4 linked regions of the Elephas maximus indicus genome follow. The protein of the gene in region 4 interacts with the protein of the main gene of each other region in a pairwise test. Links are inferred from orthologs where the notes say so. Each region holds a gene or a part of one and is shown on either strand. Other genes may lie near its edges. The genes, in order: FAM53C, TNFAIP3, EPB41L3 and YWHAG.

What was found.
Region 1: the proteins of YWHAG (region 4) and FAM53C interact in binary tests that used the Homo sapiens proteins (3 or more experiments, as listed by UniProt). The link is inferred for Elephas maximus indicus from reciprocal best matches to the Homo sapiens genes YWHAG and FAM53C.
Region 2: the proteins of YWHAG (region 4) and TNFAIP3 interact in binary tests that used the Homo sapiens proteins (3 or more experiments, as listed by UniProt). The link is inferred for Elephas maximus indicus from reciprocal best matches to the Homo sapiens genes YWHAG and TNFAIP3.
Region 3: the proteins of YWHAG (region 4) and EPB41L3 interact in binary tests that used the Homo sapiens proteins (3 or more experiments, as listed by UniProt). The link is inferred for Elephas maximus indicus from reciprocal best matches to the Homo sapiens genes YWHAG and EPB41L3.

The regions. Positions count from the first base shown.
Region 1 is NC_064820.1:151,427,150-151,434,293, reverse strand, and holds the start of FAM53C (protein FAM53C), read right to left. Parts: upstream 3,008-7,144; 5' UTR 2,786-3,007; intron 2,739-2,785; exon of another isoform or gene 2,331-2,738; intron 2,317-2,330; exon of another isoform or gene 1-2,316.
Region 2 is NC_064819.1:207,624,469-207,632,310, reverse strand, and holds the start of TNFAIP3 (tumor necrosis factor alpha-induced protein 3), read right to left. Parts: upstream 3,019-7,842; 5' UTR 2,771-3,018; intron 1-2,770. UniProt on the Homo sapiens protein: Ubiquitin-editing enzyme that contains both ubiquitin ligase and deubiquitinase activities.
Region 3 is NC_064829.1:23,598,164-23,605,769, forward strand, and holds the start of EPB41L3 (band 4.1-like protein 3), read right to left. Parts: upstream 3,006-7,606; 5' UTR 2,702-3,005; coding exon 2,641-2,701; intron 1-2,640. UniProt on the Homo sapiens protein: Tumor suppressor that inhibits cell proliferation and promotes apoptosis. Modulates the activity of protein arginine N-methyltransferases, including PRMT3 and PRMT5.
Region 4 is NC_064830.1:94,202,766-94,210,655, reverse strand, and holds the start of YWHAG (14-3-3 protein gamma), read right to left. Parts: upstream 3,003-7,890; 5' UTR 2,795-3,002; coding exon 2,708-2,794; intron 1-2,707. UniProt on the Homo sapiens protein: Adapter protein implicated in the regulation of a large spectrum of both general and specialized signaling pathways. Binds to a large number of partners, usually by recognition of a phosphoserine or phosphothreonine motif.

The sequences.
Region 1 (7,144 bases), on a different chromosome or scaffold from region 4:
GGAGTCAATTTCTGGTCAGAAGCAAACCAACTCATCAGAGAACAGGCTTCAAGATCACACAATTGCCTGAGGGGCCTTGCTCAAGGGAAATTCGGAGGTTAACCTAGTGTCACAGTGGTACCATTCTGCCCACTCCCAAAAATGACAAGCAGGAAGACAGTCCACCAGAATGTGCAGATAAAATTTGCTAAAACAATAACAACAAAAAAAAAAACCCTTGCCATAGAGTCAAGTTCGACTCATAGCATCCCAAAAGCACAAAGTAGAACTGCCCCACAGGGTTTCCAAGGAGCGTCTGGTGGATTCAAACTGTGACCTTCTGGTTAGCAGGTAAACTCTTAAGCAGCTCCTAGAGAGAACAAAGGATCAAAAAAATCTAAATCTTAATCCAGCTTCCTCTGACAGTTTTAGCAAATCATTTAACCTTCCTTGGCCTCAGTTTACCCATATGTAAAATGGGCACAATAATCTTAATCTGTACCCAGGGTGGAAATAACATGAAACGTGAATAATGTACAAAAGCATACCACCTGGCCTGTATGAATCAGGAATCCACATAGACTGCCATTTCTCACCCCTCGTTTGTTACTCTGCAGAGCCTCGGGATACCAGAAGCGATGATATCATTAAGATGAAGAAGGCAATAGAGTCTGTCTCTCTGGCTGTGTACCAACAAAAGCCCAAGAGGGCTCTTCTGTGACCTTGGGGCAAATCACTCTCTACTTTTTCAAAAAACAGAGAATCATCTTTATTCCATTCCCACCTCAGAGAGAGGCCACAAGGAAGAGCAAAGGAAAACATGTGAATGTAGTTGGAGTTTTTTGGAAAAAAGGTGCCAGAGAAGTCAATCATCATTATAGTTAACTGTCGTTATCATGCATAATTATTAACGCTCTGAACAAAGTCCTAGTTTCCTGAGAACTCACTTTAGTTGCTTACACTACGTTCTTGTGGCAGAAGCTAACGCTTGTATCACTTCTGCTCTTGATTTCTTAACTCTGCCCCCAAAGATCAATCGGAGAGGGAACCTAACTGCAGGCTTTTACCCCAAAGACCCCAGGCCTCAGGCTGACCGGCCATGAGGAGCAGGGAGTGAGGCCAACTCTTTCAAGCTTTTCATGAGGCATTTGGCCAAACAGCAAACTCCCAGCCCTCTCTGGGATCAAGAGAGTGATTTTGTGTTTTCCTGCATTTTAATTGTTGGGATGTGGCCACACACAGCGGTAATTGGAACAATGCAACTACCACCACGCAACTGATACTCTCAGCCTGAGTTTCCTAAAACAGGCCAGGCTGAAAGGGGGAACAGAACGGAAGCCATAAGGAATCAAACCAGGACACAAAAGAAGGCAAACCAGCTCCGCGAGGGGCCTCCTCTTTCTCAGGCAGGCTTTGAAAAAAGTATCTAAAAAGCCCTCTCTTGGCCGCCTTCGTTCCCCTTCCATTTTGTATGTCTGAGGGGTAGATATAGCCCTGAACGTTCATGAAACAAGTTAAAACTTCTCAGCTTAACAACTGGCACAGGGATCAGCCCTTCACTGAGCAGCAGGCCTCTAGACTCTCCTCACAACCCCACCAGGTCCAACTCTCAGTCCAGGCTTTCCCTCCTCCACAAGCCCCCTAAAATAAAGATCGGACCCCACTTCATCTCCCATACACGGCAGTAACCAGTGACACTCGGGCCTAAGGGATGCTGAGGTTGTGCTGAAACCTCGAACCTAAGATTAAGTCAAGCCAAGGGGAAGAAGAATCACATATCCCCTGGGGACCTTCCCCCCAGGTCCCAGCCCCACACCTCTGGGGGAGACCAAAGAAAAACATGAGAGGCAGAGAGGTGCAGGCACAGGTAAGAGGGGACCTGACTGCTCTTCCTCCATATAGCTCTGGTGGGGATAAGGGTGACAAGTGGGGTGCACCCCTCCCCCAACCCCGATGAAGAAGCAAAAGGTAGGCCCCCTCCAATCTTCCACCTCTCCCTCTGCTGCCCTGCCTGTCCCCGCGGGGTGGGGCATAGGGCGTCCGCTGGCCCCTGCGGGGCGGGGGTGGGGAGGGCCAGGGCTAGCTCAAGGGGGTTGTCGTTCGCCTCTTCCCACTCAGCTTCCATCATCTGGCCTCGGGAAGCGTACTCAGGACGCAGGGGATGGAGAGGGTCTGGGACCTAGCACTCAGTTACCCCCTCCCCCACCAGGTCCCGTGCTCTCCCCGCGGAGGCGGCCTGAGAAGCCCGGCCGCGCGGGCGGCTGGGTTGGGGGAGGGGAGAAAGGGAAGAAGGAGTGACGGTCGAGGTGCCCGCCCCAAGGCCCCAGCACCACCTGCCCTCCGCCACCTACCGCAGCTCCCCCAGCTCCCAGGGCCGCGGCCGGAGCAGCTCTGAGCGTTCGGTTCGCCCCACGGTGCCCTTAAAAGGCGCCGGCGCGAACCAATGGGCCCCTGAGGAGAGTGGGAGGATCGCACCAGTTCAAAGAATCCTCCTGAATCGCCCGCTGGGGCTTAAGCCCCGCGTCGTTTCCCTCTCAAAGTCTTTCTCGGATAGCGCTGTCAGGAACGAGCCTGGCGCTTTGATTTAGGATTGAGGATGGTTGCCTCCCTATCGGGTAACCCCCCCTCAAATATTGCGGAAGGTGGACGTGCCCAGTTGGAGGCATATCTAGAAACCCGCGGGTGAAGCCGTACCCGACGAAGGTAAACAAAGCCATCGCCCCCGCCCTCCATTTCTCCATTGGCCCAAGTGCAGCTTCCCACTTAGTTCGGACCGCGTAACAGAATTAGCCGAGGCTCCTCTCACCTGTTCTTCTGTCCCGCCTTATACCGCCGCCTCTGTAAAGGAATCCCCTTTCCTGCTGCGGAGGACCGGTCCGCAGCGTAAAGGCTGCTGGGACGTGTAGTCCAAGTGCCGATTAGGGCCTGCTCTGAGTCCCTGGAGCCCCTCTTCCAGCTGCTGGATCGGCTCGAACCTTATAAACGCAGCATTTACAACGGATGCGGGGCCGTTCCCACTAGATTCTGTAATTAGCCTTCAGCCAGAACACTTTGTAAAGCTGAGGAGGGCCTAGGGCTGTTCACTCTTTCTCCTCCCTCTCCCCCCCGCCCCATCAGGATGAGGTAATGGGATTGTGATTATGACATCATAGGCGGTTCAGTTGCTTGCGGGGGTGGGGGGTGTGGAGGGGTACAGTGGTTACATCTGGACCACTTTTTTTTTTAAGACCGAGAGGGAGGGAGGGAGCAGATGGGGAAAAGATGTTGACGGCGCTATTTCCTCTTGAGGATGAGGAAAACCACCTTCTTTTTAACTCTCTCCCACCACCACCACCTCCCACCTCAGCCGAAGTTTAAATTCTTTTCAAAGAGACTGAAAGTAGTAGAAGGTGAAGAGGTTGGGGAACAGTTAGATGGTTTCTGGCTCTTATGTAAATTTGAGTCTCAGCTAGCATCAAAGATGGTTCAGAGAGACAGGCAAACAGATGGAAAAAGAAGAGGTTTTAAACAATGCCTTTGGGTTGTGATCCCTTTGTAGGGTAGAGTTTTAGATTTCTAATTGATTGGAAAGTGGTAGTAATGCAAGTAAGTCCCCTGAAAGACATCTGTTTTCTGTAAATATTTTGTGCCCCACTCAGGAGTGGTACAGGTAAATTAGCTGTGTTCAGCTAGAAAGTAGTCATTGTAGGGATCTTCCTCATTGAGCCATGGAAGGGAGGAGGCAGGAGCCACAAAGTCAGCTAACTGAAAAAGAATAAAGGAAAAGTGAGGTATTTATAAGAAAGTGGGAGGGGGATATACCTTGCCATGCACATTTCCCCTTGGTGAAAAAGAAGCAGAGGCAGGGACCATGAAGCATAGGAGACACTGTTTTCAGTAATAGCTGTGAAGCACTTATATGTGCCAGGCACGGTGCTATATAATTTAAATAATGTATTCTCATTTTTGCTTACAATCACCAAATGAGACAATAAACAGCCCAAGAGGTTGAGTGCCCAAGTGGTGGGCAAAGAACCAATTATGAGCCTCTAAAGCCCTGGTTATGTAAAGCACTAGGCTATATACCCCCCACTTTTTTTTTTAAATTATCCGTGCTTACAAAAGTTAAATGACTGAGTAAAAGAAGTTAAGTTAGCATTGGCTAACTTGTAAAACATTGAAAGAATTTGAGACGTTAAAAAACAAAATCAAACAAAAACTGAGCAGATTTCAGGCCTCAAAGGAAGGCTATACCCCCTCTTTCATCAAGGGTAAAATAGCACTCAGTATAGCCCAAAGCTCCACCTCCATTACTAACTATAGTTAAATCTCCTTCTTGTTAGGTGCCATCGAGTCGATTTCGACTCATAGTGACCACATGTGACAGAATGGAATTGCTCTATAGGGTTTCCAAGGCTGTAATCTTTATGGAAGCAGACTGTCTCCCATGGAGCCACTGGGTGGGTTTGAATAACCAACCTTTAGGTTAGCAGCCAAGCACTTAACCATTGTCCCACCAGGGCTCCTTTTAAATCTCCTTATACCCTTCTCTTAGTTCTCAAGTTTTTAAGTCATGACCTGTTATTTTTTTTTCCAGCTGCTTCCTTTTGTTCTTGGGATGCTACCTTGAACTTCGTCTTAATTGTGCCCTTGGGCTAGACCTCATCTCTGACCCTGCTCCAGGGAGTTTCAGCAGAGTATACTACCTGGTCTCCATCCAGATTCTCGAAGAGTTTCAGGGCCTGGAGCCAGTCATCCAGTAGATTGTCCAAAGGGGTGGAGTCCATTGGCTCTAAGAGACTCTCCATTCCCTGTCTAGGAAGGCAGCAGAGTCAGAGGAACATGCCTTTTATTCAGACCCTCCCTTTTCACGCAGTGAAAGATAAACCTCTGCAAAGTGGGGAGATGTGGGGCTCAGCCCACCACTCACTGAAGGAACCAGAAATAGTCAGCACACCCCAGAGCAGCCCTGCCCTGAAGGGGCTGACTGGGCGGATCCCAGGAATGCAAGGCTCTTCTCCAGTGCCTGTTCTGGGCATCCCAGGAGCGATGGCTGTACTGTCTGTTCTTGTTTGGCGTCTGAGGTTGAAGCCCTGGCTGTCGCTGTGCCCTGGCAACAACAAATGTGGGTCAGGCTGAGGTCAATATGAAAGGGGGCCCTGTATAGCAGGGGGCACAGCTCACTACTTATCACAATGAATCAGGAGCCTAGTTAGAAATTCCCTGAGAATGAGTAAGACCAGTGTCCTCAATCAAATAGAAAAAGTAGATCTTCAGATTATACACCAAACTTTCAGCCTCACTAATAGCCTTTCTTCTGGAAAGGGTAAATTAGATATATTCTTGGAAATCAAGGTAGACATAAAATATTTGACTTCCCTTTAAAACAAATGTTCATTTTCATGCATTTAATTTCTATGAGTGTGTGTAAATTTACATGTACTTAGGCAAGTATGTTGCAATTACCAAGTCAAGAGGAGGCATAAGAAGACGATGGTAAAAATGGTTGGAAGGAAAACCACCTCATTAGGAAACACAGATAGAGCTTTAAAAAGTCACATGGAGGGGCGGGTGGGAGAGGAAAATCGGGGATATTAAGAGATACAGAATTTTTGTTAAAGACTGTGAAAAAAATTGGAAACATGATGATTGTTGCACAACATGGTGAATGTAATTAATGTCAGTGAATTGTAGACAGAAAATTGTTGAAATATATATCTCACCACAATCAATTTTTTAAAAAAGCCAATGGACCAAGTATGTTCCACTTGAAAAAAAAAAAAACCTTGGAAATATTAGGGCTAGATTACAAGAAATTTAGTAGTTCTGCAACTTTGTGAGCACATTCAAAACACTCAGATCCTAGTATCTTTCCATCCTCTGAACCAAAGCAACTTGGTGGGCACCCTTGTTGTGACCACCCCACAATGAGACTCATGTGGAGACCTGCTGCAGAAAGCCCTGGTAGCCAGGTGTGCTTTTGCCATAATCTATCTGCTTTTGCCGTCGCTGCAGGACAATGTCATATGTCTCTACTGTGGGGAAGTACACAGTGCCCCACAAAGTGTGATTTATAGTCACCAAAGCAGAACCAACTCATCCCATACTCTCTTAATTCCCAGCCTGATTTGCAAACTCACCTGGCATGGCGTGACTCTGTGCTGACTCCTGCATTCACCATCTGTATCCCAGAAGACAAAGACTCCTCACACATCTCCTTTCTAGAGAAGCAGATTCTACAGATGAAGGGAGTATCAGGGAGTAACCAGCTGACTACAATGCTTCTCAGCCACCACCACCACCAAGATTCTGACACCAGATAAATGTGGTATTTCTGACTTATTGTTTTCTCAAAGATAAAGTTGCATTTCTGACTTAATGTTTCTCAAAGTGTGGTCTGCGAACCATCTGCTTTGGTAGCACCTGGGGGCCTTGATCATTCCTGGGCCCCATTTCAGACCTATTGAATCAGTATTTGGGGCTCTTGCATTTTCAAGAGCTTACAAGTTTATTTTAAACTTTTATGGGAAATTTCAAATAATACACAGCAGTGAAGAGAATAGCATAATGCCTTGGGGCAGTTTGAATCCACCAGCCACTTCTTGGAAACCCTATGGGGCAGTTTTACTTTGCCCTGTAGGGTCTACGCGTCGGAATCCACTCAACAGCAATGTTTTTTCTTTTTTAAATGCTACTCAAAGTATAGTCCTAGGATTAGCTGCATCAGCATTACCTAAGACCTTGTTAGCAGTGCAGAATCTTGGACCCCAACCCAGACTTAGGGAGTCAGAATCTGCATTTTAACAAGATCCCAGGTGGTTAGAATGCACATTAAACTTTGACAAGTACTAGTGGGCGTCGTGTACCAATCACCCATCACTCATGGCCAATTTGTTTCATGTATACACACCGGTTTTCCCTACCCCATTATTTAAAAGCAAATCCCCCAAATTATGAATAACTTAGTATCAGCTGTTGTGTACTGTCGACTGGATTCCAACTCATAGCGACCCTATATGACAGAACAGAACTGCCTCACAGGGTTTCTTAGGCTGAAATCTTCAGGGAGCAGACTGCCTAAAGATTTAGGTTCAAACCCCCGACCTTCTCATTAGCAGCCAGGCGCTTAACCATTGCGCCACCAACCAAAAAGAAGGAAACCCGTTGCCGTGGAGTGATTCCGACT
Region 2 (7,842 bases), on a different chromosome or scaffold from region 4:
GTAAAAAATCCTGCATTGTATGCTGTCACTTAGGCTGCTGCTAATATTTCCTTTTTAGCCCCAAAGAAAAACATCTATGAAGAATTAAAACGGAGTGTTTTATAATCAATGAAAAAGCCTATTCTCAGCAAGCTGCACGGCCATTTTTAAGAATGGTCGGAGGTCTTTCAGAGCCTTTCCACTAATTTTTATGACCCCGGACTAATAAAGAGACCCAGCGCAATAATCGAATAAATACATTCTGCACTCCCAAAAGCAGACAGGAGCTCAATTATTTTGATTTGATGGCCAACCAAATTTCATCCTCGTCCTTCAGGAACCAACACTCAAGATACACTTACCACCGTCTCCTTTACCCTAAAATCTTCAAACTAGTGGGAAGAGATGAAAAGTTTAGAGGCAGACAAGGAAATAACTTTCAGCCAGGGGGCCTCACAAGACAAGTGAAAGGGGAACAGGGGCAAAGACCAGCATCTACGACCCGTGGCAAAAGAGTGGAATGACATGAATCCATGAAACTTGGATCTTGCCAGTGGAGCGCTTGGGGGGAGGGCCAGGGTGCCTTCCTACACATGCTAATTTCCAAAAAGATGAAGAAATTGACTTCAAAGCACGAAGATATTTCCTAGGAAGTTTCCTGGCAGCAATTCATCCCATTCTCAACCCCAAACTATTTGCAAGGACAAGCCTCCAGTTGAGAAAGACATTAAACCCATACAAGAGGGAAAAGAAGATTTTAGGTAGGTTTTCAGGAGGCCACTCCTGAAAGGGTCCAAGCTCCTCATAGCTATTGACAAGGTATTCTAAATCCTTATGGCTCGCTCAAAGAAGAGAGGTTGGACTAGGCAGGGGCTGCTTCTGAGGAGTTTTCTGATGGTATTTTTGGATCAGGATTTTTCATCTGATTGTCAAGTGGAGCCTGGGACGAGTCAATCTCTTGGTCAGATGGTGACCTCTCCTTTCATGTAAGCAATCCCCTGCACGTGAGCTGGGCAGAATAATTGCAGGGTGCAATCAAGGGACAAAAATACCACACACACATTCTCCTTGCAGCATGTCAAAAGTTTCTTTCACAATGTCATTCATTCATCCATACATTTAACAAATCCTACGTGAGTACCTACTGAAGGCAGCACTGCGCTTGATGCAAGGGCCAAAAATCAAATACGACCTTATTCCCCTCTTTGAAATCATACAACTACCTTAGTCTGCAGCTAAGGTACAGAAGCAGAGGGACCCGCTGCTCAAGGTCCTACAGCTACCCAGTGCAGAGCCTTGCCTAGCGTCTAAGTCTTCCAATATTTGCCTCTTGCTTGTCCGATGCCACCACACCTGTGGCTACAGTGCCTGCTACTCTCCATGGAAACAGGCAAGCAGTAAGTAGTAAGATTTTAAACAAGCTAGGTATTGCCTCTTTGTGCTTTTCTGACTCTTCGATTTTGCTTTTCTGAACCTAAAGATCCTTCAGCCAACATCTAAAATAGCGAGAGCTGTCAACTGTCGCAAGACACATAAATATAAGTATCTGTCATATGATTGTAATATCCTTATAGGTCAAAGGAATACAACATTACCCTTTTTTTTTTTTTAACATTTGTGTGACCTCACTTGGACTTATTTGAAGATAATTTCCCAATTTTTGTCACTACAGGCAATGAGATTCTACAGAACTTATTATTGCTCAAAGTCTTCTCCCCCTGGTTTTATTTTTCCACTCTAGGCAGACATTTTTGTCTGCAGTGTGGAAATTTATGAATTATTTATCAGCAAACATCTCATCAGATTTTTGGAAAGTACCTGTCAAAAAATTCAAACATTGCAGAAAGAACTGCAAAACCTAAAGAAGCACCTTAGACAGTAAGAATGGTGCACTAACTGTGCTGCTCAATAATCAGGGGCATTTAGAGTTGCAGTCCAGCAGGCTCTTTAATCAATTAATAACAATTCTCCCAAATGCTGCCCAGAGACACTTGACCAGACCAGCTTTCCAAGGAAGATCAGAGGCAGGGAGAACTGAAAACAAAGTGGTCTCAAAATGAGCTGAGCTCCTTCCTTACTTAATACCACTGCTTTCCTGAGAGCCCAGGTGGCAGGATGTGGGGCGACCTGGGCTGAGTGACAGTCTGACTGTGGGGTAGTGACTGGTGCGGGGGGCCTGCAGATGGCTTCTAAACTGGGGCCCCCAAAAGACAGACGGGCAACCCACTTCTTCCAGCGTACTTCTTACACTGCTGCAACTTTCAGAGAAGAACCCATCCTCCCCACCTCTCCTGCACAGAACACTGTCTGGAAGCTGTCCCTGGAAAGGTTAGCTCACCGAAGCCCCCCACACAGGCTGAGTTTTGTTGCCCCTGCGACCTGCCACCTCCGTTGGGCTGGTTCTGCATAATCTCGGCAGACGTCACAGTGGTTCTGCAAGGTCTACGTGGCCAAGAGCATGCAACGCTTAATTCCAAAAAAGACAGAAAAAGGAGCAAAGCACCAATGACCCATCTAACAAAGCTGACTTCAGCAGTCAGCTGCAGCTCAAGTTCTCTGCATTACTGCAAAGGATCAGCTGGATGGGGGATCCAGGGCTGTCACCCCAACATCTGGCTCGGCGACCTCAAGTCCTAGCATTTCAACACCTAGAATGGGCACAAACGGCCAACAAACTTCCCTCCAGAACCACTGCAAAACCAATGCCAAGCAGATGCAGCAAGCTCGACAGTCGCTGCCAAAGACGCACCCATAGCCCTTGCCCCAGATGAGCTCGTGCCGCGACGGTTACCTCTCCCTGGAGTGCGATCCTCTTCCAAGTCCCAAGTCCCAGTTAGGGCAAGCGCGTTGAGGCCAGGGCGAAGCAGCACCCCATGGACGGCTGACTGAGACTCGCTCGCTCGCTGGCCGGCAGGCTGGGGGTGTGGATCTTGCCAGCTGCCGCAGATCTCCCGGCGGCGGCTCCCGACGCTCCGCCCCCGCGAGCTCGGATGCACTTGGCCCACAGCGCAGGCTGCAGACTGCGCAGTTCTCTTTTCCCTTTCTGTTTTAGGCTTGCGGATAGTCGGGGGATTTCCACCCGGGGACTTTCCAGTCACGTGACGCCAGGCCCGGCGCCGGGAACTCGCGGCCGAAGAGTCGCCCGCCGCCAGAGGGCGCAGGAGGCGAGCGCGCGGCCGCAGCCCGGCCCGCCGACCGCCCTCCCGGCCGCCCCGCCCCGCCCCGCCCCGCCCCGCCCCGCCCCGCCGGCCGGCCGCGCGGAGAAACTCCTGCGCCCCGCCCCGGGGTGTCCCCGCGTGAGTCACCTGGGCATTTCGGAAGCTCGGCCCAACGTCACATCCATGTGGAAATCGCGGTGATGGGAACTGGAAATGAAGTAGGTTCTTTTTCTCAGATTTTCTGCAGAAAATCATCAGTTGTGGAGAAGAAGAAGGGAAATCATAGAGGAAGAAAACCCTGAAAACCACCCTGGCGCCCGGGACCGCAAGCTGCGCAGCCGGGGGGTAGAGAGGCTTGGGCTGCGCACGTGGGGAGCACTAGGGGAGAGCCCAAGACCTGGCCGCAGCGGAGCTTGGAGACAAGAAGTACCCGCCCTGGGTCCCTCCACAGCCTTCCTGTCTACCTCGACCCCAGGCTGGGTGGAATGCGGGCCTGAGGCGACATTCCCTGCCGCGGATTAACCAGGAAGCAAGGTGCGCAGGGGTTTACTTGTGTTTACGTCGTGAGCCCTGGTGCACAATTTCACATGGGTTTCACCACGTCTTTAATATGGTGAAAAGCAGCTGAAATTGTGCACCAAGGATTGGTAAATAAGCACAAGTAAGCCCTTGCGTACTTTGTTTTTGGGTAATCTGTCCCTGCCTGCGGCCCTGTGGCCTTGAGTATCCCATGACAAGGCCAGTCTTGGATAAAATTAGGACTCAGAACAATCCGGCCCCTACCCCGGCACTTGCGCGGTTTCCCCTTCTCCATTTCTGCACGTCAAGCGCCTGGGTGGCATCACATTCCGTCGAGAAATCGATTCTAGTCCATTACTGACCTTGCCATGCCCTCCTAAGGCCTCATTAGGTGTGTCTTCTTTAGAAGTCGTGATAATTAGATCGCCCCAAGATACCTTGTTATTCCCCCCATGTGCTATTTGCGTGGTAACTGCATTTTTTCACGTAAAGATGTCAGCCACCTGAGCGATGGAGGTGCGTAAATTGTGCAGGGAGGGACGTTAGGGCGCTTATACCTTGATGCCCTGTAAGAACCGAAAGTTAGCGGTTTGAGTTCACCAGCCAGTCGCTTTCCGGGAGGAAGATTACAGCCTTGGTTACCCTATGGGGCAGCTCTACTTTGTCTTATAGGGTCGCTATGGGTCAGAATCTATTCCATGGCAGTGGGATTTGGGGCCCTCAAAGCACAGGTGCCCGATAGGCCTCCTTCCTAAAATAGCCAAGTTAGGGTCAGATTGAAATATTCTTTACCATTAGCCTTTTGACTGTACTTAAATATGCTTGTCAAGCCACGTATCTCAAGTTTTGAATTAGAAAAGTATTTCCTCTCCCCGGTATAGATTTGCAGAGGCCAGAACAAGAGTTGGCTGGTAGGTGGCACTTTTTGGGCAAAAGGAGACTTAAAGCAGAGAGTCAGTAATGGTCACAGTCCCAAGGCTGGCTCTGGTCATTTTAAACTAACGTTGGCATTTTTTTCCAGCTCCAAACCTAGTATTTGTTACCTTCTTTTTCGCGAAGTTTTCAGCTGCCAGTACTCAAAACAATGAACAGTCAAGCTAGTAATGTAATAACATAATAACAACAACAGATTTTACTGAGTACTTACTACACGCTAGGCTCAAGACCAAATATTTGAAATGTGTTCTGCCATTTAAACCTCACAACTCCACTTTGGAGGTGAGAATTCGAAGCTTAAGAAGCTTAAGCAATTTGCCCAAAGTCTACACAACAATTAAGTGGCAGAGCTGAGATTGGAACTGGGCTTGTCTTACTCCAAAGCCCACACTATTAAGTCTTAAGTATTAGACTATGCCTTTCAGGAAATATCCCACAAGATATAAAGTCTTGGAGCCCAGGCCTGTGAATATCCTGCCCCCTGCCTCCCACACACACTGTAGGCACTTGAGCAAACAAGGACCCTGGGCAGAACGTGGGCTTGGGAGCCAGGTAGGCCTTGGTTCCACGCTCAGGAAAGTTCTTGGGCTTGTTGAGATGATAAAAGAAGATGATGTGTGTAAAAGAACATCCTATTAGGATGTTAATCCTCAGACCACTCTCACCTTGCCTGTTCTCTTTATCTGGCTCTGACCTGCTCTGTGTCCTGATATACCAGTTGCCATTGAGTTGACTCTGACTCGTGGTGACCCCATGTGTGTTAGAGTAGAACTGTGCTCGTAGGGTTTTAAATGGCTGATTTTATGAAAGTACATCACCAGGCCTTTCTTCTGAGGTGCCTCTGTGTGGACTCGAACCTCCAGCCTTTCTGGTAGCAATAGAGTGTGTTAACCGTTTGCATCACCCAGGGACTCTGTTCCTCCTAACTTCCATTGATCCTTCTCTGCCTCTTATCTTGTTCCTTGGTTTGATGAGCTAGGAATGCAATAACGAAGAGTAACCTAAAAGGACAGAACAAGCCTAAAAGGCTAGATTCACGGCTACCACTTCCCACTGGCCCAAGGTAGCCACTTTGCCATTGTGTCTGCCAATATTTGTGATGAGGTAATAGCAGCCAGAAGTGGTCTGCAACCCTCAGTTTTGTTCCCTACCTCTATTTTCCATAATTCTACTACTGAGCTCATTCATTCCTGCCCCACCCCTAACCCCTAAGCTAGAGCCATGAGCTCGGTGAAGATGTGTACTTAGGTTCCATTTGGTTGACAACATAGCTTTCCCTTTTCCAGTATTTAGCATGTTGGCAAGACCAGTGAAGATTTTCTTGGTGGAGTATTGGAAAGAAAGGGTAGAAGAGGGGAGAGTGAGAAAGAGAAACTATGGGAAAGAGGAGATAAAATTTAAGGAGATTTGTGGGATGAAACGAAACCAAGGAGATATAGAGTGCTCAAAAGCCTTGCAGAGGACTCTGATTTCTGCTAGGACTCTGATTTCTGCTACAGACCTTATCAAGATGAACAGAGCTCTGCAAAGGGGAAGGAATGCTTATTAATATCTGGTAGACACGTAGGAGAAAAATGTGTTCTTATTAGAGAGAGGAAAGGGGAATTCTCATTATGTGCAGTGCTCTGGAGAGTTCATGACGTACGTGCTGTTTTGACTGTGTTGCCAGCATTCATATGTCATGAACTTCGTGTAGTGGGCACACATAACCTCTTGACATTAGATACTATCTGTGGGACGGTGCCTGCAGCCTGTATGCTTATGCCAGACCAGTTGCCATCAAGTCGATTCCAACGCATGGCAACTCCATGTGCGTCAGAGTAGAACTCTGTAGGTTTTCAGTGGCTGATTTTTTCAAAGTAGATCACCAAGCCTTTCTTCCCAAGTGCCTCTGAGTGGACTCCAAATTCCAGCCTTTCCTTTAGCAGCTGAGCACATTAACCGTTTGCACCACGCTGGGAACTCCAATGCTTATACCAAATAATGAAAAAGAGGTGCAGCCCAGGATAGCGGGGAGCGGGAGAAACCTGGCTAAAGAGAGGCAGATGTGACACAGAGAAAACCAAACCAAATCTGGCGCCATCAAATTGATTCCAACTCATGTGTTACAGAGCAGAACTGCTCCATAGGGTTTTCTTGGCAGTAATCTTTATAGAAGCAGATTGACCAGCCCTTCTTCCTTAGTGCCCCCGGATAGGTTCGAACTGCCAATCTTTTGACTAACAGTCGAGCACAAGTTGTTTCTGCCACCCAGGGACCTGACATGCGGGAAGGGGACCCAATCTAGGTCAGGTCAAACAGCAGCTCGTGAGCCTTCCCTTAATCAAGAGTCAGCAATAGTGTCGTTCAGAGAGTGTACAAAATTCCAAGAGATGACAACCATGGGTCAAACTAGAATCAGATGTTTTGTGTCAGTTGTACAATTGTCTCCCTTTCCCAGAATTGCATTATATTGAAAAGCAAGATCCATATTAAACATATTTTGAAACAGCCTTATGTAAGTTTGGCAGTTTAGTTATTGCAGGGTAGCTCTGAATCCTGCTTCAAATTGCAATAAATCTTGGTTGAGTTTTGTGATTTCTGAAAGAGTAATGTTTGCCTGTACTCTCACAGCAGCTATCAGTGCTACAAATGCTACTTCTGAGAATACAATAGAAGCCTTTATGGCTATAACTACGCTGAGAGCTGCAATTACGAGGCCATAGGTTTCGTATCATATGAAGACCAAATTCCACGGAAATGTCACTTCTTATCTAGAGACCTCAGATCCTTTATAGGGATTACCTGGGATGAATGGAGAAACTGAAAACCCCATGGTGAAGGGATTTATTTAGGGTAACCCAATGAGTCACTGAGTCACTAGTGATAGGAACAAAGTCCTGCCACTGGCTGGGAGGCAGTTGGTTTAATGCCAAGCACAGCTCTTCTTATTTCACTTTGCCTGAAAGCATGATATGCTGAAATCCAACACATGTCAGAAAATTCATTCCCTCTGTGAATTCTGGCTTAATTTCCTGTCAACACTTGGCTGGAACACTTGGCACAGTAATCTTACTAACATCATGCATATAAAGATTCAACTTAGTTTCATTTCTGTTTCTGTGGAGGCTGTTATTAATGACCAGATCGAACACGATGACAGAAAACCCTGAAGTGGGTGTCATTAGGAACCAGTGGTGTACAGTGGTGGATGTAGCAGTAAGGTGGATGTTAACTGAGATAAATTAGTTCCGGTTATTTGAACAGCGAG
Region 3 (7,606 bases), on a different chromosome or scaffold from region 4:
ATCCTTCTGGTATTCTCTGCTTTCAGCCAGGATCCATCTGACATCAGCAATGATATCCCTGGTTCCATGTCCTCTTCTGAAACCTACCTAAACTTCTGGCAGTTCCCTGTCAATATACTGCTGCAGCCTTTTTTGAATGATTTTCAGCAAAATTTTGCTTGTGTGTGATATTGATGATATTGTTCTATAATTTCCACATTCAGTTGGATCACCTTTCTTGGGAATAGGCATAAATATGGATCTCTTCCAGTCAGTTGGCCAGGAAGCTCTCTTCCATATTTCTTGGCATAGATGAGTGAGCACCTCCAGCGCTGCATCTGTTTGTTGAAACATCTCAATCGATATTCCATCAATTCCTGGAGCTTTGTTTTTCGCCAATGCCTTCAGAGTAGCTTGGACTTCTTCCTTCAGTACCATCGGTGCCTGATCATATGCCACCTCTTGAAATGGTTGAATATCGACTAATTCTTTTTGGTATAATGACTCTGTGTATTCCTTCCATCTTTTTTTTTTTATGCTTCCTGGATCATTTAATATTTTCCCCATGGAATCCTTCACTATTGCAACTCGAGGCTTGAATTTTTCCTACAAATTAGATGGTACAAAATTCCTGTATCTTGAGGTTATTAATGATAATTAAATGAGACTCATGTAAAGTCCATAAACCAGCACCTGATAGAGACTGAGTGATGAAGATGATGGCGAACGTGAAGGTGACGGTAATTCTGCAGTTCTGCACACCACAGAAACTGAACCAGGTCAATACGATGAATCTACCAGCTTGTTTTTAGAAAAAAAGTACTGGCCAAACCAGTAACTATTTAGGCTGCACAGCCAGCTTCCCCCAACCCACCACCCAAAAATGAAACAAAACCAAACAAATAAAAAAAGCAAATAACCCCCAAATCAAAAGACTCCTCAATAGCAGGCGGCCATAGAAAGAGAGGGGGCGGAGAGCTGGTGGGAAGACACACTGACCCAGACACAAGGTTGCCTGGGAAGTAGTAGTAAACATCTTTGTTTGCACTTTCCTATTTTTAGGATCAGAGGTTTCTGAAGATTTCCTGAGCACCTCACAAATAAAGTGTTACCTTCAGAAGATTTCCTAGGTCCCAGGCAGAAAGAAGATTCACAAAACTCGGCTCATGATCAGTTTTAAAAATTAGGTTCTGGTTACCGATTCTTACTGGAAGAGAAACTGAGATTTCAGGATGACCGTGCAGTTGGTCATCATTCATAAGGAGGGAGAAGAAAAGACCTGAAGGAGCACAGAGGAAAACACTCAACCTGAATCCAGAAAGGAAATTTTATATGTGGAACTGATGAATCATAACATAACCCAATAGGCAAAACAGCTAATTAGGTGGTAATTGTGTCAAATCAACAACTCACAGCTCAACAGATTAAACTCAAATGACACACATTCCTAAGGATATTTATGGGTAACTAAATCATCTAAGATAAAGACTCTCTAATCACTTACACCAGAGTAGAAAATCGCACAAACATCAATGCCAAATTTCATGCTAATATTCAATACAATTTTAGAAATTTCAAAAATAACTGAGGACAACAACAAATGTCTTTGCTTCCAGCAAGTGAAATCCCGCCATCTCAGCCTGCTAAGACAGTGACACGGTAGTTTGAAATGTATTGAGAAGAAGATTCAAGATAAAAGTGGAATTGATAATCGAAACACTGACTCTCTAAGGAAATATCTCGACCGATTTCTTTTTTTCCAGGAGTCAGCCATACTAAATACTTTAATAAAAGCATAAAAAGTATGGAACCAGTTCTTCTATAATATTATGCCATTCAACGGCTTTCCCCCACACTTGTTTCCCACATCCTCAGGAGCCAGAAAAAAAATGTATTTAAAAGTATATATTTTTTGTAGTCAAAGGCTGCCTGTTATCCAGCCTCCTTTTTCCACAGCAAGGATTCCACCAGCAGAAGTACAACCTTCTTTCCCAAGCCTGAACCTTCACGCAGAATGCAAAAGCACAGGACATCATAATTGGTCAGTTTCAGAAAAAAAAGTTGGAATTTGATATTGAACAGTTTTGCTACCTTGAATGGTGATAACATCTATTAAAGACTAATGGGCCTGAGAAGACTCATGACTCATTTAATGTAAACCCCTCAATTACGCACCATTTCTGGTGGGTTGATATTAGAAACAATGCCAACATCACAAACATAATCACATTTTTATCTGTCATAAATGGTAAATATGATGATATGAAGTGTATTATTTATAGAAACAGCTGAACAGCCTTAAAAAACTCCGTTTCAAGCTACACTGGTGTATTTTCAAATTGCTTGTCGTAAAGAACTATTATTAAAGATGGTATAACCCAAAAGAAAGAAAGAAAACCAACAGCAAGGGTTTAAATAGCAACTTCTGTCATTGAAAATAATTCATCTTTGTTTCATTTGAGTCTGGGTCCTGCTAATAGTACGACTCAGGATTTCTCCCTCACATGCAAGAGGATCAGCTGGAACAGAGGCACATATGGCAAGGCCTGCACACAGCACAGGGTGCGGGAAGATAGTTTTCCATCAAACAATTGCATTTGGCACTTTTCTTCTTCCACAAAGAGGGAAATCAGCAGCTTAAACATTAAATTCAGAACTCACCCATGTTATTCATGTTCCAAAGCCCCAAGATAACATTTTTCCAGAAGATGGGCAGGTCCATGTTCCATGTTCCAAGAAGCAGTGAGACAGGAAGACAAAAAAGGGAGAGAGAAAAAACATTTTAGGAATAAACCAACAAATGAAGGTGACTTACCCACAAACTAAGCATGCTGATAAGAGTTCCCTCCTTTCAAGAAACTTCCCCACTGCCAAGACATGGTGGATTATGGAGTAAGTTGTAGAAAAACAGGGTAGATAATTCATAAGAGATCCAAAGGGATCTCTCTTTAACCTTTTCATTAAACACTCACAAATAAAAACCACAGTTGAATATGCAATAGATGTTTCCAGAAAGATGATATGAAAGAGTTGTATGAATGTATAGGAACATAAAAATAATTAAAGCAAGACTGGACTAAAATAGAGAAAAAAAAACTGCTTCAAGGTAAAGACTTAGGTTGACTAAATATAATAATCAGAAAACTCAGTAAAATGAGTTACATATTCCACCAAGGATTTAACTAAAATAAATCTAATTAGACAACAACAAAGATTAGAATGTATAACCCAACTTAGAGGTGCTTCAGATCAGAACCACAGAATTTGGCTTCTTCAAAGAAAAGACTAAAGAAGTAGTATTATTATCTTTTTTTTTAAATCGAAGTCCAGAAAAAAAATTTTTTACATAGCACAAAATTTCTAGGAGATGAAGATGGCAGAATAGCCAGATGCTTCTGGTGATCCCTCTTACAACAAAGACCCAAAAAATCAAGTGAAACGATTACATTTATGACAAGCCAGGAGCCCTGAATATCAAAGGCAAAGTTAGAAAACAGTCTGAGAGGCAGAGGGAGAAAGAGACGGTTCAGAAACAAAGAGGAGTTGCCAGACCTGAATCGTCGGGATCCCTCAGGCACCATTCCCGGATGCAGCAGCAGTGGGCTGATAGTAGCGTTCAGCCGCAGTTTCCCCAGGGAGAAGCAGCCAGCTGCACAGCCTACTCACACCTCCAGAGCCAAGGAAGAACGGCACTCTCGGCAAAAGCTAAGTACTTGCGTATATTTTACTGTGCCCCCAGCTCTTGGCCGGCTTCTGTGGCTGGTGATTTCCCCAGGCCTGAGAGAGGCCAATCTGAGCACATTGAGCCATGCTCCCAGCCTTGGAGAAGGAATAAATTCACAACTGGGGGAAAAGATAATTTGCCAGCTCCACCACCCAAGGGGAGCTCAGGACAGAAGTGGCTCCTGTCCAGGCATAAATGATCCGTGGACTTTGAATACCTTTCCCCCCTGCATGGAACTGTGTGGGCTGATTTGAGGACAATAGGCCCTTGATGGCAGACTGCAATTGTTTAAGCTGTATGGTAGAGAGGTGGGTGTTTGATATTTGACTCTGCTTTGCCTATTAATAGGGTCCTCACCTACCCACATCAGGGGTCTAAAGACTGGTGGCTCCACTCAGGTCACCCAGCCACCTGAGACAGAGGCCTAAGGATAATGGGTACCTCCGAGTCCTTACAAACAAAAGCACTGGGTGCCCATGGTCCATCTGCAGAATCCACCCACCTGTATGCTCTAGGGAACAGGGACACACTTTCCTCACAGACACTCAGGGAACAGTTCTCAGCCCCCTGCCTTGTTCAGAGCATGACCCCTGCTGCAACTAGATACCAGTACCTACACCAAACACCCCTACCCCTCTAAGATGGTAGGACAGAGCCTGTACCACACACTTGATGACCAGCTACCCAGACACCTGAGCTGAATCCACACAAGAAAAGTGAATGAACTCATAAGCTCATTTACCTGATAAGAGCTCTAGCCATGTGGTGACAGGATATCAGAGCTCCAAAGGCGAAAATAATCAAGGTAGCTCACTCAAGCAACCCATTTGGGCATATCAAAACAAAACAAAGCAAGAAACTAGGATACAGTAAGCAAACATAAAATAAACTAATACAATGACTTATAGATGGCCCGGAGACAACAGTCCATATCAAACCACATAAAGAAACAGACCACGATCTCTTCAATGAGCTCTCGAAACAGAAAATCAAAGGATCTCCTGGACGAAGGTGCCTTCCTGGAATTACCGGATGCAGAATTCAAAAGATTAATATATAGAACTCTTCAAGACATCAGGAAGGAGATCAGGCAATATGCAGAACAAGCCAAGGAACACAAAGATAAAGCAATTGAAGAAATTAAAAAGGTTATTTAAGAAAATAGTGTAAAATTTAGTAAGCTACAAGAACCCATAGAGAGACAGCAATTAGAATTTCAGAAGATTAACAATAAAATTACAGAACCAGACAGCTCAACAGAAAGTCACAGGAGCACAACTGAGCAAGTGGAAGGCAGAATCAGTGACCTTGAATATAAAGCACTTGGAACGAATATATTTGAAGAAAAATCAGGTAAACGTATTTAAAAAAATAAAGAAAACTTAAGACTCATGTGGGACTCTATCAAGAGAAATAACCTACGAGTGATTGGAGTACCAGAACAGGGAGGGATAACAGAAAATACAGAGAGAATTGTTAAAGATTTTTTGGCAGAAAACTTCCCTGATATCCTGAAAGATGAGAAGATATCAATCCAAGATGCTCATCGAACTCCACATAAGGTAGATTATAAAAGAAAGTCACCAAGACATATTAAAATCAAACTTGCCAAAACCAAAGATAAGAGAGAATTTTAAGAGCAGCTGGGGATAAACAAAAAGTGACCTACAAAGGACAGTCAATAAGGACAAGCTCAGACTATTTGGCAGAAACCATGGAGGCAAAAAGGCAATGAATGGGATGACTTACATAAAGCCTTGAAGGAAAAAAACTGCCTGCCAAGAATCATAAATCCAGCAAAACTGTCTCTCAAATATGAAGGTGAAGTTAAAACATTTCCAGATAAACAGAAGTTTAGGGAATTTGTAAAAACCAAACCAAAACTACAAGAAATACTAAAGGGAGTTCTTTGGTTAGAAAATCAATAATATCAGGTATCAACCCAAGACTAGAAGACTAGACAGAGCAATCAGATGTTAACCCAGACAGGGAAATCACAAAAATAAAACAAGATAAAAAAAAAACACTCAAAACAGGGAAACAGCAAAATCATTACGTAAAAGAAGACAACATTAAAATAACAAAGAGGAACTAAGAAACGTAGTCATAGATCTTTCACATGGAGAGGAAGACAAGGAGATATAAAGAAATAAAAGTTACATTTAAACTTAGAAAAATAGGGGTAAATATGAAGGTAACCAAAAAGGAGAATAACAATCCTACCCATCAAAATAAAATACAAGGAAAAAATAGAGACTCAGCAGAAACAAAATCAAAGACACAAGATAAGTATGAGCCCAACAGGCAGAAAGGTCCACATAAACCAGAGACTACATTAACCTGAGACCAGAAGAACTAGATGGTGCCCAGCTACATCCAATGACTGCCCTGACAGGGAACACAACAGAGAACCCCTGAGGGAGCAGGAGAGCAGTGGGATGCAGACCCCAAATTCTCATAAAAAGACCAGACTTAATGGTCTAACTGAGACTAGACTGACCCCTGAAGTCATGTTCCCTAGACCTTCTGTTAGCACAAGACAGGAACCATTCCGAAACCCAACTCTTCAGACAGGGATTGGACTGGACTATGGGATATATAATTATACTCGTGAAGAATGAGCTTCTTGGATCAAGTAGACACATGAGACTATGTGGGCTCCTCCTCTCTGAAGGGGAGATGAGGGGGTAGAGGGGGTCAGAAGCTGGCTGAATGGACATGAAAACAGAGTGGAGGGAAGGAGTGTGCTCTCGTTAGGGGGAGAGCAGTTAGTAGTATGTAGCAAGGTGTTATAATTTTTGTATGAGAATCCGACTTGATTTGTAAAATTTCTCTTAAAGCACAATAAAAGTTAAAAAAAAAATTTCTAGGAGCCATTGTTAGTCTTACAAGTTACAATAATTGCTCTATGAGGTAAGAAATTTCACAGCATAAAATCACATAAAATACATTTTCAAGGAGCTGGAACACCCCAGACTGAAAGCTCATGCATCATGGGCTTTCCACAGAAACAGTCACCTTGGAAAACCCGTCTGCTACTAGCTTACGCAAGGACCCTGTGATCTTCAGGTCCACATAGGCCTCCAGGACCTCTGGCTTACAGATGTACACTACTAATCAGGCCCATCCAAAGTCGCCATCGAAGTGCTGCTTGAAACTATGTGGCTGCCCTGTGCAGACCCAATCTTCAAAGGAAAGAATGAATAAGCAAACAACCGATGTAAAGTTTCATAAAGGCGGCAAATTTAATAGAACCATCAGCTATTAACTCAAGAAACTGATCGTTCCATCAGCACTCAACTGCTAACAGAAAAGTTGGAGGTTTGAGTCCACCCAAAGGTCCCTAAAAGAAAAGCCTGGTGATCTACTTCTGAAAAATCAGCTACCAAAAACCCTATGAGGCAGAGTTCTACTCTAACACGCGAGGTCACCAGAAGTTGGAGTCGACTCGACAGCAAATGGTTTATCAGTAGCTGGTAGGATGAGGGTAGGTGCCTAATGGTCATTGGAAGCAATCATAACAGCCCTGCCTACCAAGACCACAAATGAGCCAGTCGTCAGTACCGACCACATAGCCCTCCAAGACTACAGGGAAGCTGCCCTCTCCTGAGTCCTCCCCATTCTATCCTCATCCACAGACACCTTGGAAAGAGTCTATGCAAGGTCTTCCTAAGGTCCTTCAGATATTTTCAAAGTTAATAACTTGGGATGTGAACCAGTGTTGTGTTTTTAATCTACACTCCTTGCTCCTGGTAGTGAATGGTGGATTTTCTTCTCATTGCAGGCATGCAAGCTTGAATTCTACTGGCCGAAGATATAGCTGACCTTCTCTCAGACTCTAACTAATGCTATTCGCCAAAGAATCAGAAAAGGGAACACACTGGTGCATAAATTAAATGCTAT
Region 4 (7,890 bases):
CAATTATCACACTCTACAAAGATCCCAACACTGTTATTACTGGGATAATTTCATAAAGACAAATAAATTTGAATCCCTCTAGCGTCAGGAAAATTTCCACCTTCAAAGAGAGCTCACTTGAGTGACAGCACTGAGTATTTTCCTCATACCTTCCTGGATTATCTAAATTCTCCATAATGAAATCATTTTTATAAACAAGAAACAAAGTTTCATAAATAGTTACCGCTTTTGAGCACCTACATTTTCTTATTTAACCACAACTTTTTCAAGTAGGTATTGCCCCACTTTACAGATGAGGAAAATGAGGGCCAGAGGTCAGCCTACTTCCTCAAAGTCACAGTAAACAGGTTTGAAAATAGGTCTGTTTTATTTTACAAACTGTCTTTCCTCCATATTGTCAAGTAGCAGAAGCACAAATACAACAAGACAATTTTCCCAAAGCCCAACCTCAAATGAATTTAATAACTGGTTTGTAATGGGTTCTTATCCTCTAAGAGCTACTAAAAATGACCCAGTAGGAAGTCTTTTTTTTTTTTTTTTAGGTTTTTCATCAAAATCTGCCAAGCTATTAATTTTCAATAAAACCCCAGTACAAAGCTCCTCCCCCACACTACGATCATAAAACATATTCCTTTGTTAAATTCATACTTTTATTCCATCGTTGCCCAATTTTTTTTAATTAAGTGAGATGAGTGTTTAAAATAGGATGGATGTGATAAACTCGTCTGAAAAAAAAAAGAGAGAGAAATAAAGTGAACAAAGCATATCTAGAGGTCACTGATTTGCATGTCTAAGGGTAAATGAAATACTTATTTTTTGGACCAATAGGACCATTCCGTTGCAAATCAATTTTTATTTAGTGGAAGGTGAAGTGCTCAATCCCACCAGGTTTATCAACTAACGTCTGCATTACCTTGGACAAATGCCATTTGCATACTCCCTACCAGCCCTTAGGTGCATTGCAGCCTCTGTGTCATTGTGTGTGACATCACTGGGTTGCTATGGATATAGGTGCGAGGTCACTCGCTTTCCTGTGAAACTAGAAATATGGAAAAATTAAAAGAGCCTAAATAACATGAACCAAAGATATTTTCAACATTGGCATCCATTAAAAATGCAACCTATATCATCTGATCTTTAAAATGTTGTAAAATAATAACTGTGGCAATACATTAAGCAACAGGATACTCCCAATTCCCAGAATCAAATCCCTTCCTTAATGATAACATTTTTTGTTAATGTAACTGGTTTAAATATAAAGGCATCACCAATTGTCATCTTTTGTGAACTAGTTTAGCTACTCGAGAATTAATCTACTATACTTACACTGCTTCATTAAAAAGATTTAACATGCAAGGTGCATCCATTTCAAACTGGAGATGCATTTTAATTATCTTTGTTACATAATGTAGAAAGTTAAATATTAAGATAGTGTAAGACCTAAATGATTAGATCATTTTTTCCATATTGAATAATGTTCAATGCTTTCCCCCCTCCTCTCATCTCAAGCGGGTTGACAGCCCGTTAGATAAATGTGGTGTTACTGACAAAATGGTGCAATACAGGCAGAAATCTGCATCTCAAACAAAACGCGACAACTGGAGATCACTATTCTCTTTTCATCAGCGTGAGGGTGCACTAGCTTAAAAAAAAAAAAAAAAGCCTCAGATATAGCTAAAAAAAATTTTTTTTTAAAAAAACACTTTTTCCCCCTTTAAACAACCCCTCCCAGCCTCCACCCAGTCTAGGCTCTCTGCAATATGACAAACGCAGAATCTTCTGGAATGACTTGATACTGCCTCCCACCACCGCTTTGTTTGCAATATCAGATCAGAATTTTTTTTTTCCAACTTACAGGAATTTCAATACGCGTGCCTATAATTTAAAAAAAAAAAAAAAAAAAAGCATATGTCACAAATTAACCAGGCTGCTACATCCACCACTTTTATTTTAAAAACAATACCTACCCTTTTCATTACAAAACATTAGGGGAAATGCAGATGACATGCTGAGAACAATTAATGAAGAAGCTAGTGAGACAAATGTCCCCCCCCCCAAAGGGAGGACTTGCTTTGAGGAATGAACAAACAGGAGCCTTTTGTTAAGAAAAACGTGATCAAGAAGGTTTCGATTTTGCACCATTGACCCCAGGTTTTCAGGAGAGCCTAAAATTTTTCCTGGGGGAGATTGTAAAGGATCTGTCAGGAGGGGCAGAGGGGAAGGAGATGGGGGGCGGGGGGGGTCTAAAAAGAGTAAACCTGCTGAGTGAATGGGAAAGGCGCCGCCCAAACACCAGGGAGAGAAAGAGGAACCGCATCCATGCGGTCCCCCGCCCCCACGCCCCAGGCTGGGAGGAGGGGAAGTGGGGCACAAAGGATGCGCACGGCCCCGCTCGGGTCCCCAGCAGACCCGGAGCACGCGGGGGCCAGAGACCCCGCGCCCGCGAACGGTCCCGGAAGACCCCGCCCCGGTCCGGTCTGAGCCCCGAAGTCCGAGGAGGCAGCGCCGCCAGCTCCCAGGGACGGGGATGAGAGACAGCGTCACAACCCGGGTGCTTTTCACGATCAGGACCCTCCACGGCCCCCTAAGCGAGGAGGGGCGACCCACCTTGCAGTCGCGACAGGCGACTAGTCCCTGGGCCTCTAAGGCGAATGAAGGCGTCTCAGAAAGGGCAGGGAGTGGCGGGGCGAGGGGAGGGGAAACTCACGTTCTTCATGGCCGCGGCCATGTCGTCGTAGCGCTCCGCCTGCTCGGCCAGCCGGGCTTTCTGCACCAGTTGCTCGCGGTCCACCATCTTCGCGGGCTGGGTCGGGCCGGATGAGGAGACCGGGGCGGCCTGAAAGGCTTGGAGGGCGGCTGCGGCGCGGCGGGAGCCCGTGTGCCGGAGGGACCGACCCACGAAAAGAGCAGCTGAGGCGGCAGAGGCTGCGGCTCGAGCTGCGACCGCGGGACCGGCGCGAGGCGGCTGCGGCTGCTGTGCGTGCGGCGAGAGGACAACCCCCAGCGGCCCCGCCCACGCCGCGTGACGCGCCGGGTCCCGCCCGCCGCGCGCACCCCGCCCAGGCCCCTCCCTGGCGCCGTCAGCTTCTCCTGCTTCAGCTCCGCGGCTCTACTAGCCACGGTCTTCCGACCGTCCGCCCGTTCCCCGTTGCTCCGCAACGCTCCCCTTTCTCCTCCCCACGCCTGTTCCTTCGCCCCAGCACCTCCAGACTCCCCCCTCCCCCTTCAGACCCTCGCCCCGCCGGGCCCGCGGCGCAACGGCCCCTGGGAGTTGTAGTTCGTGCTCCTGCGGGGGCGAACCACTGGGCAGACCAAGGACAAAGGGGCGGTCAAGACTACATCTCCCAGAGGACGTAGCGCGCGGGCGGTAGAGGATTGGGGAGGTTTCTAATCTGCCAGTCACTGGGGACCCCTGGCGGGGATGAGGACTGCATCAATCCTAGGGAGTGCTGATTCATGGCCCGACGGGTATTCTTCGGGAAATTATGAGGGGAGGGGTCAAGGGTCTCTGTTTCCGAAATAAAGCAACAGGCCTTTGGGGGGGAAAAGAGAGGGGAGTGGAGAAAGGGATAGGGCGCATCCGCTGTAGATCCATACTGTCGGGGTGGTGCCAGCCCGCAGGATGGTTGAGTTAAGGGGCCAAACCCTGGACTATCAGCCACCCCGCCAAGGTTCCAGCTCCCTATGCCCACCTTGAAGTTCTTGGTTACGACTAGGTGAAAATAAGGAAGGACAAATATCAGCCCAGCATACTGGTTAATTTAAGAAAAGATGCAACTGTGTGGAGGCTGACCCTTGGAAAGCTCCTTCTTCCTCTCCAGGGCCCAGTACTCAAGATTCAATTCACAGTTATGCTGTGCCTAACCCTGGGCTATGATCTGAGTTTGCCCAGTCCTTCTCCCTTCCTGGGACATACACACCGAGATTAGGCTGACAGATTCTTTCCCATATGGTTCTCTTCAGTGAGATTCCATATAGGTCTCACAGACACCCATAGTTTTGACTGCACATTTTACTTACCTAATTTATTCAACAAATACCTATTCAGCACCTACTATGTGTCAACCACTATTCTAAACAATGGTCTTCAACAGTGAACAAAACAGACAAAAATCTCTGCCCATGTGTAACCTAACATTCTAGACATAGAAACAGAAAAGACAAGATAAATAATAAATACGTAAAGTATGTTAGAAAATGATTAATAGATGATGTGAAATGTTGTGTTATGAGAACCTAGAATGAAAGAGTTTGTGTGAGGGAATATTCCAGGCCCTAGGATGCTGGAGGAAGAGGGCACGTTCGTGCAATGAATTACTTAATGTGGCCCTTCTAGCCATAGTCTACAGGGTCGCTATGAGTCGGAATGACTCCATGGCACTGGGTTTTTTTTTAGCCATAGTCTTTGTGACTCCCACACAATGATTGGGTGGAACTATGCAAATAAAGTGCTTGTAGACCACTAAAAGGATTGGACGGCTTGCTGCCAATGCAAGTAAGGTGCATGGAACCCTTGCAGAAGTGGGACCATGCAAATAAGGTGTATGGAGCCCTAATGAGGGGATTGGTCAATTTTGCCATTCTGCTAAGCTTAAAGGGAGACATGGAGAGAGATAGGGAGGAGCTCTAACATGGAAGACAGTGAAATACAGCAGCACAGCAGCAGCGAGAGTGGTAGCGGCACAAGACAGCAGGAACCAGGTGATCAGATGACGCAGTGGGCTTCCTGGCCCATGGAGTAAGGCTGTTACAGTGGGTGTGCTGAGTGACTTCTGGCCAGAGGCTTCCCTGAAGAGTAGGGTGGCCCTGGGCATTTATTGGCAGAGCAAAACAGCTTTGTAACACTTGCCCGAGCAGGACAAAGGCCAGACTGAGGGGCCAAGGGACTGTTCTGATCTGAGAAGAGACCGTCCTGACCAAAGAACTGTATCCCGAGTTGTTCTTGATCCTGAATTGTAACCTGTTGCTTCACTATACCAAGATGCAGTGATTTGAACAGAACAAGGGGACACTGTGTGGTTTAAAATCAGGAAAAGTGTGCCTCAGGATTGTAGCCTTTCACCATACTTATTAAATTATTTGCTGAGCAAATAACCTGAGAAGCTGGTCTATATGAAGAAGAATGCAGCATCAGGTTTGGAGGAAGACTACCAAACTTTTGACATCCAGACGATACAGCCTTGCTTGCTGAAAACAAAGAGGACTTGAAGCACTTACTGATGAAAATCAGAGACTACAGCCTTCAGTATAGAGCACACCTCCATATAAAGAAACAAAAATCCTCACGACTGGACCGATAAGTAACATCGTGATAAACAGAGAAAAGATTGAAGTTGTCAAGGGTTTCGTTTTACTTGGATCCACAATCAGTGCCCATGAAGCAGCGGTCAAGAAATCAAATGACATGTTGCATTGAGCAAATCTGCTGCAAAAGACCTCTTTGAACTGTTCAAAAGTAAAGATGTCCCTTTGAGGAGTAAGGTGCGCCTGACCCATATGCATTCGAAAGCTGGACAAAAAATAAGGAAAACCGAAGAAGAATTGATTCCTTTGAATTATGGTGTTGGCGAAGAATATTGAATAAATCAGGGACTGCCAAAAGAATGAACAAATGTGTCTTGGAAGTGGTACAGCCAGAAAGTTCCTTAGAAGCAAAAATGGCAAGACTTCGTCTTACGTAGGGACCAATCCCTGGAGAAGGGCATCATACTTGAAAATTGAAAAAGAGGAAGACCCTCAAAGAGATGGATTGACACAGTGGCTGCAACAATGAGCTCAAATATAGCAACAATTGTGAGGATGGCAATACTGTGCAGTATTTTGTTCTGTTGTACATAGGGTTGCTGTGAGTCAGAACTGACTGGACGGCACCCAGCAACAACAAAACTTTCCTAATAAACTCCATAACTGTGTGTACGATCTGTGAGTTCTGTGTGGCCGTTGCAACGAATCATTGAACCCAACGGAGAGGTAGAGAGTGCCATGGGAGGGACGGCTGGTGTCAGAATTGGTAAAAAGATTGGACAAGGAGATATGTCTGACCTCCACCTCATAGCAATCAGCCTTGGCTGTTGGTGCTGATACTGATTCTCCTCTCCTCTTGTGAAGTTAGATGAAGCGGTTGGATGACACCCCCACTACGCCATTGCCACACCATGGTATCACTTAAGGGATTTAGAATGTGTTAAGTTCTATAATTTTTTTTTTTTTAATTCTTTCAGGCTAGGCAGGAAAAGATTCTAAAAAGGTTCTCCAGGGAGGAGGTGACATTTCCCACTGATCCTTAATGGATATGTAGGATTAGACAAGAAAGAGCAGGCAGAGGGCACAAATAGCAAGGCTTAGAGGCAGGTTCTCAGGTTCCTCCCTGGCATATTTATTGGTAGGCAAAGAATCTGATGTGTCTGGTACCCTCAGGTGATAGGTAATGGGGCTGGGATGGTAATCACGAACACGAGAAGCCCTGAATGCCAGGCTAAGAAGTTAAGTCTTTATTCCAAAGTAAATAGGAAGCCGATGAGTGAGTTTAACAAGTGCAAACGATGATCAGATTTGCATTTTTGTCTTCTTCAGCACCATTGAATCCTTGGTACTTAACACAGTTCCTGGCACAGAGTAAGTACATAGAACATGTGAAATGAATGAATGAATGCACTCTGGGGAGACTGTGCTAGCAGAAGTGTAGGAGATGGACTGAGTGGGGAGAGAGCCTAGAAATAGCTCTCTTCTCCCCATCTTCCAACGTTGGATCTAGCCTGGCCCCACTTCTCTTACCACACCACCCAGCAAACTGCAATCCTGCTGGTGAATAAACCCTCCTACTTCCTTCTGCTCTTGCATGACTGTTCACCAAGTTATTCCTCTTCCTTTCTCTTCCTCCCTGCAGGCCAGGCATGAACCACTCTGCCGTGGGCATCCGAGGCCAGTGGGAGTGAACCCTTATATCCAATCCTGGTTGTCAGTTTGTGAATTAAACATGTCACTGATCTTGGCTCTAGATGCTAAATCTCAGAACTCCGTGGCACATTTTGGGCTACATCTCTGACTTCTTCCACCTAGTTCCTTTCCCAACCAGTCCAACGCACTTAAAAAACAACCCAGGCCAAACCTACTTGGGAAAAAATAAAACAGATGCAAAGAAAATGATGCTGCAAAGCCAAATAGGAATGACATCTACAGTCTCCATATCGAGGCTTCCCTCTAATTGTGCAGGAGAAAGCTGGCCCTGCCCTCCTTTCCTTTTTAATTTTTTAAGACTCTAGACTTAAAGCTACAGCTGCCCAGCAGCCCCTGGCTGTTTAGAGGGCTGCCTCAGAGGCATGGCAACATTACACAGAGCAAATGGCTTAACATCCTGGTTTCCTCCTCTACTGCCTAGTTCTGCTAAAAGAAATCTAGAGAAGTGAGGTGGAGAACTAGCATCTGGCTTCTGCCTGCTCCCAGCTCTGTGGGCAAGGCTTGTCCCCTCTGAGGGTCTTAATTTCCCTACTGAAATTAAACTAAATGTGATGAGTCATAGTTCTAGATTCGGCATGTTCCTCTTCTAAAATGGAAGGCTATTGGAATTCTTCAGCTGTGGAAACAGGGGTCTGTGCTTGCAGACCTAGGAGATGGTCGAGTTCTAAGGGCTGAGAGACTCAGGATCAACCACGTTTTTTAGTCAAGGAAGCAGAGACTCAGAGAGGTTGTGTGACCAGCCAAAGTTCACACAGCCAGTGACTGACAGAGCCTGAATTCCAACCCAGGCAGAGCTTCGGGACTCCCGCTAATAAAGGTGTCCTTCCCTGCCCAGGCTACGAGGATCTGCCCTTGGCACCTGCTCAGGAAAGAAGAGGCCTTGCCTTCTGGTGACTGACCTGCCACAAGGGCACAGGGCAGGTCACTCACATG